Linked DNA regions of Drosophila melanogaster. The protein of the gene in region 1 purifies or fractionates together with the protein of each later gene. This does not show direct contact. Each region holds a gene or a part of one and is shown on either strand. Other genes may lie near its edges.

What was found. The genes of interacting proteins can lie anywhere in the genome.
Region 2: the proteins of Calr (region 1) and Sh3beta purify together in Drosophila melanogaster (affinity purification with mass spectrometry, with the first as the bait; one large-scale study listed by BioGRID). This does not show direct contact.

The regions. Positions count from the first base shown.
Region 1 is NT_033777.3:9,628,167-9,632,802, reverse strand, and holds Calr (calreticulin), read left to right. Parts: upstream 1-1,951; 5' UTR 1,952-2,037; coding exon 2,038-2,125; intron 2,126-2,249; coding exon 2,250-2,354; intron 2,355-2,362; exon of another isoform or gene 2,363-2,548; intron 2,549-2,622; coding exon 2,623-3,095; intron 3,096-3,187; coding exon 3,188-3,742; 3' UTR 3,743-4,112; downstream 4,113-4,636. Other genes in the region: SpdS (spermidine synthase), read right to left, coding at 1-426, 949-1,082; CG8319 (uncharacterized protein), read right to left, coding at 4,193-4,636. UniProt on the Drosophila melanogaster protein: Molecular calcium-binding chaperone promoting folding, oligomeric assembly and quality control in the ER via the calreticulin/calnexin cycle.
Region 2 is NT_037436.4:7,364,028-7,371,074, forward strand, and holds Sh3beta (Sh3beta), read right to left. Parts: upstream 5,234-7,047; 5' UTR 4,908-5,233; coding exon 4,863-4,907; intron 4,164-4,862; exon of another isoform or gene 4,045-4,163; coding exon of another isoform or gene 4,036-4,044; intron 3,958-4,035; coding exon 3,532-3,957; coding exon of another isoform or gene 3,526-3,531; exon of another isoform or gene 2,814-3,525; intron 2,490-2,813; coding exon 2,415-2,489; intron 2,184-2,414; coding exon 2,135-2,183; intron 2,082-2,134; coding exon 1,219-2,081; 3' UTR 1,043-1,218; intron 938-1,042; coding exon of another isoform or gene 833-937; 3' UTR 557-832; downstream 1-556. Other genes in the region: Sec63 (secretory 63), read left to right, coding at 1-4.

The DNA.
Region 1 (4,636 bases):
TTCAGCGCGTGTTTCATTAGCTCGTAGTAGCTTTCCTGAAACAGGCTCACTGCCGGACCAATGGGATCCGAGCTGTCGGTGATGATGACATCAAATTCGTTCTTGTGTTTCTTCATATAGTCGAATCCATCGCCAATGGTAAGCTTCAACTTCTCGTTGGCGAAACCACAGGCCATCGCTGGGAGATATTGCTTGGACAGCTCGACGACACGGTCGTCGATTTCCACCTGATGCACTTCCTCGACCAGTGGATGCTTTACCACCTCGCGAGCAACGCCGCCATCGCCACCGCCCACGATCAGGACCTTTTTGGGATTGGGATGGGCGCAGAGCGGCAGGAAAGATATCATCTCCTGGTACGAGAACTCATCCCTGGCCGTGCACTGAATGATTCCGTCCAGAATTAGGCACCGTCCATAGGTTTCGCTGTAATAGAATTATCGAATTATTGATTTTTTCAGCGGCGCAAGTGTACCCAATGTTCGACTGGAGGAACTCAAACCTGAAAGACGAGCTGACTTGCTATCAGTATTCTGTCTGTCGTTTTTGGCCCTAGATGACTCCATCGATAAGGCTGTTGGTGCAGATCAAGAATAAACACACGAAAACCAAAGGGTCCGAAAATGCTGGCTGGGCAATTTGTGTTTGAACAACCAGTGGAAAATTTTCGATTTCTACAATCTATGATTTAGGGACCTTCAATGTAGGATACATATGGGATTAGGCTATTGTAGGTTAGTCCTTAAAATCTCAACAGCTTAAGCTGTTAAAAATTTCGGATTTGTGTGACTTGCGTGTTTATAATGATTTTAATTTAGTTTTTTAATCTCAATCTAAGCTAATTTATTTTGACATCTATCTTCAAACTTCAGTCTAGACTGAGGAATTTCGGATGTAAACAAATGGGGTTGTGTGTCCAAGTATTTGTTTATCTATTATTTATCTTACGTTTCAACGATCTGGATGTCTTGGAACCGGGACTTCTCCTTGTGGATGACCTCCTTGACTTTCAGGGAGAATGACTGACCGGGCCAGAGATCGGCCTGCAGTTCGCTGAACCATCCGTTGTTAAGGGAATCCATTTGTTTAATGCCGCATTCGAATCGGCGTTTGATAAGATTGGCTCAACACGTGGGCTCGACACGAACTTACCGTATCTGCCACAAAGCTAGGTCTTAAAAAATACCTTAGAAGGTCTATTGGTATAAATACCAAAGCTTTTTTGTTTTAATTAATTTAATTTCACTTTTCTATTTCTGGCTATTTATCTTTTTTATTAATATAATACATTTCCAGCGAAAATTGTAATTTTTTAATGTAATAAAGTCAAATGTAAAAGTTAGCACTTATAGATAAAAAAGTTCCTAAAATTAACGAAATACAGGTGCAAAGTTTTGGAATTCCTTTATTTGTTTTTGATTTGTATTATAATGTATAATTAACATTCTAACTTTTTAAATACTATGAACTTTATCGGGTGAAAACTTAATTGTTAACATGTGATGTAAGTGTGAGTTAAAATTTTCAAAACCCTTAAGCCGTTAAAAAGCTTAGGAATGTTCTGGAAGCACAACTGTTCTTCCTGTAACTACTACAATTGTTAAGTAGTAGAAGAATTGTTATTGGAGTAATTTTATGTTTTCTTAGCTTAGCCTGCTGCAAGTGATTAATTGTATGCCAGAATATATTAATTTTATATATTTTATAATTTAATTTAATTAGCAAACGGTCACTTTAGTGTTTCTAATTCCAGCTCAAGCAATCGATAGCGACAGGGCAGCATGCGATTGCTTATCGAAATCAGCCCTGGCCGGTGAAAAAGAATACGTAGACATCCCTGATTGGCCTGATTTGGGCCAATGAAAACGTTCCAGCAAACCAATTTCAGTAACAAGCCGTCCCGCTCCGACACGCACGATTTAGATGCAATAAATAAATAGCACTTTCTTGCCGGCATTTAGTACTTAACTTTAACCGAGTTCGGACAACCATCGGAGTTGGAAGAGTCAGTCCAAAAAGTGGTGCGGGATCGTTCACATGATGTGGTGCAAAACAGTGATAGTGTTGCTGGCGACAGTCGGCTTTATTAGTGCCGAGGTTTATCTGAAGGAGAATTTCGACAACGGTAAGTGGTAGTCATCGCGTTCTATGGCCGCCATGTGGTCCTCCGCTCCCCTTCAATGAATAACGAAAGGAGAGACAATAAAAATAGAAGAATAATAAAAGCACTCCCCCGCTTGTTCCCGTAGAAAACTGGGAGGATACGTGGATCTACAGCAAACATCCTGGCAAGGAGTTCGGAAAATTCGTCCTCACCCCCGGTACCTTCTACAACGATGCTGAGGCCGACAAAGGTAGCGTATATGTGTCGATGTGTCGTCACTCCCTTTTCCAAATCTTTCTCTTCGCTCGTTCTGCCATTTTTATTTTTCGTCGGCGTGTTATCTGCATTTGTATGTGCCCGTGTATGCGGAGAACATGGGCACGAAGAAGAAGAGGAAGAAGAAGAAAAACCACTACGTGTACGTTTTCGAGTAGCTATAGTAACTGTATACACATTTTTTCTCGCCCCCCACCTCCGCGCGGCGCGCATTCGTATTGATGTGGACACACATTATATAGGCATTCAGACCTCTCAGGATGCTCGATTCTACGCGGCCAGCCGCAAGTTTGATGGCTTCTCCAACGAGGACAAGCCCCTCGTGGTGCAGTTCTCCGTGAAGCACGAGCAGAATATCGACTGCGGCGGCGGCTATGTGAAGCTGTTCGACTGCTCCCTCGACCAGACCGACATGCACGGCGAGTCGCCGTACGAGATCATGTTCGGCCCGGACATCTGCGGACCCGGCACCAAGAAGGTCCATGTGATCTTCAGCTACAAGGGCAAGAACCACCTAATCAGCAAAGACATCCGCTGCAAAGATGACGTGTACACCCACTTCTACACGCTGATTGTCAGACCCGACAACACGTACGAGGTGCTCATCGACAACGAGAAGGTGGAGTCTGGCAACCTGGAGGACGACTGGGACTTCCTGGCCCCCAAGAAGATCAAGGATCCCACCGCCACCAAGCCCGAAGACTGGGACGATAGGGTAAGTTGTAAATCCCCGCCCAAATCAGACTTTAGCCCATCGAAAAACCGGTTTGGCTCATTGTTATTAAACAACAACGTAAATCTCTGTAGGCCACCATTCCCGATCCCGATGACAAGAAGCCCGAGGACTGGGACAAACCAGAGCACATTCCCGACCCAGATGCCACAAAGCCTGAGGATTGGGACGATGAGATGGACGGCGAGTGGGAGCCACCGATGATCGACAACCCTGAGTTCAAGGGCGAGTGGCAGCCAAAGCAGCTGGACAACCCCAACTACAAGGGCGCCTGGGAGCATCCCGAGATCGCCAATCCCGAGTATGTGCCCGACGACAAGCTGTATCTGCGCAAGGAGATCTGCACCCTGGGCTTCGATCTCTGGCAGGTCAAGTCCGGCACTATCTTCGACAACGTCCTGATCACGGACGACGTGGAGCTGGCCGCTAAGGCTGCTGCCGAAGTCAAGAACACCCAGGCGGGCGAGAAGAAAATGAAGGAGGCCCAGGATGAGGTGCAGCGCAAGAAGGACGAGGAGGAGGCGAAAAAGGCTTCCGACAAGGACGATGAGGACGAGGATGATGACGATGAGGAGAAGGATGATGAATCTAAGCAAGACAAAGATCAAAGCGAACACGACGAATTGTAAGGACGTCTAGGGAAAATTACGTCGAGAAATATTCGGTATTTTTTGTGTGTTGGTAGCTGCTTTGATGTTCTAAGCAAACGGAAACCACAATTACAATTTGTAAGACTTATAATTTATAAACATACAACTTGTTGTTTTTTTCCATTGCTCTTTTCGAGCGATTTAAGGGTTGTTTAGCTTGTTTATCAAAATGGTGGTGCCACGTGAACAAATCACGGCCGAATGGCAACGCTGTCTATATCGTCGTGTCTACATCGAATTTTGATTTACAGAAAAACGGTGTTGCCACTCCAAATGGTTTTCAAAGTGCTGTTCGAATTCTACGAAAATATAAATCCTAAATTCAATTAAATCCCAATATGAACTATAGAAACAATGAGATATAAACATAACCGAATCCTAATTTATTTATTCGAGTAAGCCGTGGTATTTGGTCAAGAATTTAAGGTATCACTTTAGCTTTAGCTTTTGATCTCCATCCCGATGCTTGCCCAGAAAGTGCCGCTTCAGATGATGTTTCTCCCGGAAGTCCTGCAGGCAGATGGAACACTTGTAGGGCCGTTCATCCGAGTGGCGTCGTCGGTGCTTCGCCAGGTTATTGTTGTCCGAAAAAGTCTTGGGGCAGTGGGGGCATTGGTAGGGCTTCTCGCCCGTGTGTATGCGGATGTGGACCTTAAGGGCCTGCTTGGAACGGAAGTTGGACACGCAGAAGGGACAGGCATGCGGCCGTTCGCCCATGTGCGCATGGATGTGCACCTTGAGGGCCGACTTGTTGAAGAATCCCGTTTGGCAGTATGAACATTTGTGGGGTCCGTTTCCCTGTTTCGATTCCGCGTGGATCAACAGGTGCGCCTTGAGGTTTTGTTCGCGAGTAAAGGCCTGCTGACAGTGGGG
Region 2 (7,047 bases), on another chromosome or scaffold:
ATAAATCCACTGTCTACATGGACAGTGCGACGGACGGACGGACGGATGGATAGACGTCCTGAACCCCAATCAACCTCAACCTCCTCTCTAATTCACTGGGACGGAAGAGAAGCCTCTTTGTTTTCCTTTTAGTAAATGAGTTTCGCGTGGCGCGTGGCGGAGGCACACCAATGCGAACCCTTCCTTCGCATTTTTACTAGTTTTGTAATGGAAAAGACCCCGAACTAGTGCGTAAATAACTATAACTTCATTTTACCGTGTACTGTACTAAACATAATTATAATGTACTGTATATTTAATTATTTGGATACAAGAACTAAAAGTGAGACACGTAAATACAAAAGTCTATTGATATTACTACTCTTTTGTTGTGTTATAAACTGAGAAAGAAAAACCCACGGGCTTGTTGCTACTTTCGCTCACTTTAATGCTGAATTAACATAAATTTACTGCACAATTTGCTGAATTTCTAGATTAACATTTTATTCAATTAAATAAATAGCATCACAATTACTTTAATTTAAACCATTCAAGTTATTGACCACGCCTAAACCTTAGCAATTTTTAAGTTTTTTTTTTTATTACATTTTTGCTAAGCCTTTGGATAAACTAATTGCTTACAGCTTTTAGAATTTGAATATATTTTAGCGCAAAAGTAAATTAATTTTGTAATAAATAAAAAACGGTTGTATCATTGTTAGAGTATCGACACATAAAATAATAAATCAGCAAAAACAAGTGAGAATTGCAACAAGCCCGAATAGTTTGTGGAAATCATAAAAATAATTTAAATCAAAGTTGGCGCTGCCTCTGTCTGCGCTGACGTCGACGCCTACTGCGCAGCCGCTGCCCGCTCGCTGTCCAATAAGAGATCCGATTGGGAATCTGAAGTCTTCTTAGCTGATGCTGCTGTTGTTGTTGTGGTCGCTGGTAACTTCTTTCATTGTTGTTGTAGACAGCAGCGAGTTTTTTGTTGTTTGTTTTGGGAAAGGAGTAAAAATTGTAAATAAGTCACATAAAGGCCTAAACTAGGGTTCATTACCCGTCACCAGACTCGTTATTAGTGGGTTCTTGTTTCTATTTACAAAACATTTTTGGTATTATTTGGCTAAATGTGCGTTTTTTTATGTGCGTGTGTGTGTATGTGTGCGTTTTGTGCATTGGTGTTTGTGATGCGGATGTCAGTGCGTTTTTTGTTGTCGTTCAATCGATTTTCTTTTACTCTTCTTCGCTTTCTTCGGAAGAGGAATTCTCGCCATCCGGTTTGCTTTCTTCATTTTCGGGCGTGTCTTCTGTCTTCGTTTCTGCAGGTTTTTCCTCGTCGATTGGTTCTTCCTCTTTGGTTTCCTCTACAGATCTTTCGGCAGTCATAACTTCTTCGGGCTTTTCTTGAGCCTCATTTTCATTAGGATTTTCTTTAATATCTTCAAATTTTTCGTTTTCCGTACTTACAACCTCGGATATTTCAGTACTACCAACTTCCTCGACCTTTTTGTTGGTCTCATTTTCTTCGAATTCATCTTTCACATCCTCCGATTCTACAACCTCATCATCTTCGGTACTTTTAACCTCTGATTTGGTAGCACTATCCGAGTCCGCGGACTCTTCTGTTGCATTTTCCTCGGTCTTTTCTTCAACATCCTCGTCTTTATCATTCTCATTGACTTTGGTGCCTTTGGTGTCATTTTCCTCCGTTTTTTCCTTGGAGCTTTCGGCCTCTGATTCTTCAACGGCATCAACTTCCTCGGACTTTTCTTGCGTCTCGTTTTTCTCCGATTTTGTATCCCCATCATCATTGGTGGCCTCAACATCTGGTTTCTCAGTAGTGTCAGCATCCTCCGATGTTTCTGCGGTCTCCTCACTTCCCTCTAATTTATCTTTAACATCCTCGGATTTTTCAGTTTTATCATCCTTAACATCCTGGGAGTTTTCCTTATCATCTTTTACAATCTCGGATTTTTCATCCTCATCATCTTTAACATCCTCGGATTTTCCAACCTCATCATCTTTGGTACTCTCAACCTCTGATTTTTCCTTGGTATCCACTTCCTCAGACTTTTCTTGGGTCTCACCTTCAGCGTCTTTACGGGGTAGAAATTTTGATTAGAGTCTAGGGACGATCTTCCTACTTTACCTGTAGTTTTCTCCTCCGTTTTCTTGTCCCCAGATTCTTCGGTTTCAGTCTTTTTGTGGGTGGTGGGATTAGGGGTGCGAATGTTTTGTGGGTTGTTGATTGGTGGTTTTTCGTTTTTTTTTTTTTTTTGGGGGGGGGGGGGGTAAAGTGGAAGTTGTATTTACAAGATCAGACAATCGCTAGGCTACTACAGTGCAAGAGATCATGCCTTTGTTAGCTCCTATAAGCTCTAAAAGCCTAGAGTTATGGTTCGGTCATGCAGGATCTATCGATCTATTACCTTTTGCTCGGCATTCTCTTCATCTGCGTCTTCATCCTCGCCCTTTGAATTCTCCTTGTCCTTGCCGTCTTCGTTCTTTAGAGAATCACTCAATTGTTAGTAATGTTTTTACATTACGAAACTGTTTCGAAAAAGTCGGTCTTTAAGGCAACAAAATTGCTCAAGAATATTGAAATTCACCATATTCCTGTACTTTTCGTGAAAAGTTTTTTTCGTCAAACCTAAAGACCAACTTTGGAAAATCTCTCTATAGATATTTGGTATTAAAAAAGCCTTTTTGTAAATTAAGTTGTCACATTCTCATTGTTAAACTAGCCGTTGATAAGTTGGTGTTAGAGTTTGAGTGTGTTGCATAGTGTTAGAAAAACAAGCTTGCGATTGGTTATAGTTTTTTTTTTTAGTTAATACAAATATATTTCCTTTTATTACAGGGGCAGCGCTTTTTTATGTTTTAGCATTAACATAACGGCTGCACAATAAATTTCAGCTCTCTACACTACTCCAACTTAGGCTTAAGTGCTCCGAGTAAGTATTCCGAGTCCTTATTACAGGTGTGTATAAATGGTACATACAAGTTGTTTGGATGTCAGTTAATGAATATAAATATTTTGATTAAAATTGTCTTTTCACCGGGGGCCAACACAATCGAATGCCCTCGTTTAAATACGCTCATGAACTTAGCTTAAGAACCGCAGTAGTCATAATGAATTCGTTAAAAATTGAAAGATCTTCGATTTCATGCTCTACCGATGAAGGTCTAAAAAGTCTCTAAATAAATCTCGTAGTTTTAAAAGTTAGTTTTGTAAATTTTGTATAATTTAAAAGGAAGATTGCACTTCATATTCTGCAATTATCTATACAACTCCCCCAAATCCCTATGGGCATAGAAATCGAAGACGGGCTCCATAAAATATTGATATATGTATGTAGAAAGTTGGTAGTATCTGTGCTGTTAGGTAAACATTGGGTGTTATTTCTGCTGTTAAGTGTAAGGGCTTTAGTTTCAAGACATTGCTGTTGTTGTTAATTCTATTGCTCTGCTGCAGATGATTGCTGGCTGCGTTTGTTGCGTCGTAACAGTTAACGGAAAATACGTGAAAATAGCTCAAGTTCAAACCTCGGCCTTCTCAGCAGCCTCCTCCTTGACATCCACATCGCCATCGCCGGCCTCCGTTTTCTTATCCTCCGCCTCCGTTTCCGCCTCCTCCTTCTTGGCATCGCCGTTCTCCTGCTTCAGTTCGATTTGGGCGGTACTAACTGCCGTGGTGTCGGCTGGAGCCAGCTTGAGGAACACCTCCAGGGTATCGATCTCGTTGGCCATGTCAAAGGCGTCGTAATCACCGCAGTACTCGTCGTCGTTGAACAGCTGCGGAGGAAGCGGATGACGGGGCTCTGGATCGCTGACCGTTCCACCGTTGCTTGTCGATTTGTTTTGCATCAGCTCCTTCTCGGATTCCTTGCCGGGCTCCGTGATGTCCACCGTGTCGTACTTGATGTTCTTGCTGTCCAGGATCATCAGAACGCGCTGCTGGCGCTTCTTCACCTGTAAAATTGGATTTCGACGGTCAGTGAAAGCATTTAAATTTGAAAAGAAAGTTAAAAATTAAAGTATATAAAATACCTTTAACATGTATCGTTTTGTTCAGTGTAGCTACCTTTGACAACGCTGTTAATTACAGCGATGACAAATCGCTAATGAAGTGTTACCGGCAAGCCCAAACGCACACAAGCGCACACAAAGCCAACTCCCCGCCGATATAAACATATGTACGTAAAAAGAACGCCAGAACCACGCGATATGATAAGGCTAATTAAAATGGTTTGTTGCACCCCAGCATTTATCTTACGATAAGAATATGTGTTTCCCAACGCTTTTTTAAAGTGTACAAAGACAGGACAAAAACAAATAATTGTGAACCGTACAATGACCGTTATGTTTTTGTTCTTATTGGAAGAGGAAGATTGCCAATTGAACAAAGGCACCGAAAGAGTGAGAGGGGGAAGTGAATCACCCCTCACGCATGTACACACACACACACATGCACACGCACCCACGCAACTGCGATCAATGGAAATCCCTCTCTTCCATGAACAATTTACAGTTCACAGTGGAATGAGCTTATATGGGCAATGAAATGTATGTTTGTTCTGCTTCTTGCCACCACTAACACTCGCACACAAGGGCACTCACGAAAATACCCACTTGTTTTTCTTTGACTGTACAGACATACAGACTTACATACCACACACTACATCATCATCATTGTCCAACTCACGTACATACACACAAAGACGAAACGCAGCAGAAGAAATAGAATTTGCAATGCGTTCGTCACCACTTTAGTTTGCTTCTTTTCCTTTTTATCTGTTTGTCGCTAATACCAGGGCCAAACATTCCAATAACATGACACTATTTCGGTTTTAAGCCCGCCACGCCCACAAACTCACCTCCTTATTGCCGGACATGCCGCTGACGTAGACTTTCAAGACCATTTTCGCAGATTACTGTGTCCTCGCACCGCAAATGAAATAATATTTTGCAACTAAAATCTGCTGGCTACTTTCACGGCGATTAAAAATATTTATAGATCTTTTCTTTTCCTGCTTTCTTCCGTCCTGCGCCCCTACGTAATGTTTTTCCACTGGTGACGAAGGCACACGCACTGGGCAAGGTCGTTGGTTTTATTGGCTGTAAAAACGGCAAAGACGCGGATAAAAAAATTGCCTGGCGACGCTTATAAAAGTGCAAAAATATTTGATATCAGGAGTGGAAAATATTTCCTACTTTGTCGTTGAATTGAATGGTGGGACCGCGCATTGACGGCTATAGAAAACCTTCCGGCTTATCAAATATACTAAATATGATGCTTGATTAAAATACTAAAAACTTTGAACTTAAGTGATATTTCAAAATTAAATATTTTTAAGACAACTTAAATTTTATTATGCTCCCATGTAAGGTTTTCATTTTTTAAACGTTCTTCGATTAATAATCGTAATAATAAAATAATAATTTATAAAAAGCATAAGATAGGCTTTTTAAGGTTTTTTAAAAGATAGAAGAAAAGGATTCTTATTATAGAACAAATTATTTTTAATTTGGCGTCGATGAGTTAGCGGCTTCAAGGAACGGTGGAATTTAGAACATGAGGGTGTTTTTTATTTATTAATTTTTTGTTACTTGGAGTTGAATTCCATAAAAATAAAAATGCAATAATGCTAACTTTCTACAAACGACTTAAGGTTATAGGACTCAAGAAAGTACATAGAATATGCAATTGAAAAATGTTCTCCCCAGACTTTTCGGTTATTTGAAGTTTTTGCTATATTTGGTAGAACCATAAAGTATTTTTTGGTATAGATCCGTTAGCAGGGCAACCAATATTAGCGGTCGCCATGCGGTCACTCTGTTCACGTCCCGTCACGCAAGCATCGTCGTCCATTTTTGCTAAGAAGCGAGACGAAAATTTGTAAATTATATCTAGCGAGTCGCCGAGGACGAACAACTATTGACAGTGCATTTCAGTGGCCTTTGGAATACTGCTCAAACAACCAGCAAGCAATAACATTACTTATATCTAACCGAAAACCTAAATTAATCACCCAAACTGAAGTACGGACGTGAATGTAAGTGGGTATGTGCCAGCGGACTAGTGGCACAATAAAAAAGTAAATAAAGCGCGTGTGAAGTGGTGCAGAAAGCAAAAAAGCAGTCGGAAGGAAAAATCAAAATACGCATTAATGTAAGTGCGATTGTTGGAAAAGCTGTTTAACTTTTTGTTCCTCTGAAAAGCTGATAATGATATGCGATGCGACCATTTTTAAAATTTCATGAAATCAACATTCCAACTCACAACGGTGTGCGTGTGCGTTTCTTTGTGTGCGTGCGTGTGCAGGCTAGAGTGGGACAACCAGTGTGATCGCTTTGGCTGCTGCCATTTCGTTTGCTTTTTTTTAAACTAATCTCTGGCATTTGTCACGTAAAAGAGTATAACGTTAAACCCAAAAACGTTTTGTATATGGCTTTAAATATTTAATAATTGTGGGCAGAGACAGCAACACCAGCAGCAGACGCATACACACGTGTTGCGGTTTATCGAGAGGGCAGTGTGCGTGTGTTAGTGCGGAAAACAGCTGGTACAGCTGCCGCTGCAGCGACGAAGAAGAAGAAAAGAAAGAAAGGGGAAGAGTGAGAAGAACACGCATTATTATCCTGCGTAGTTTTCTTTTATCGGTGGTTGTTCTGCTATTGGGTTACAGTTTACACTTTTCTCTGTTTTCTTTATTTTCCCTCTGCATTGCTATGCATTTTGCCTTTGCGTGGTGGTTTTTTTTATTTTCATTGTCGGTCGTCCTTTAATTGCGCTGCGCCACTTCGTTTCGTCGCTTTCTTTGGCTGGTTTCTCCTTCTCTTCGGAGTTTCTGGATTCGTATTCCGATTCGGTATCGCCCTTTTCCTGCGACAACAGCAGCTGGGTGCACGGTATCGGAGCTGTCGGCGATAGCCGAAAGAAGCTAGAAACCCCAAGGAAGCCAACATCCTTTTAATTGTCGTGGAAACTATAATAGTCTCATAAAAATTAGGTTTTTAAAATGGTTTTGTCATTCTATTCTAGAAAAAGCTATGAATATA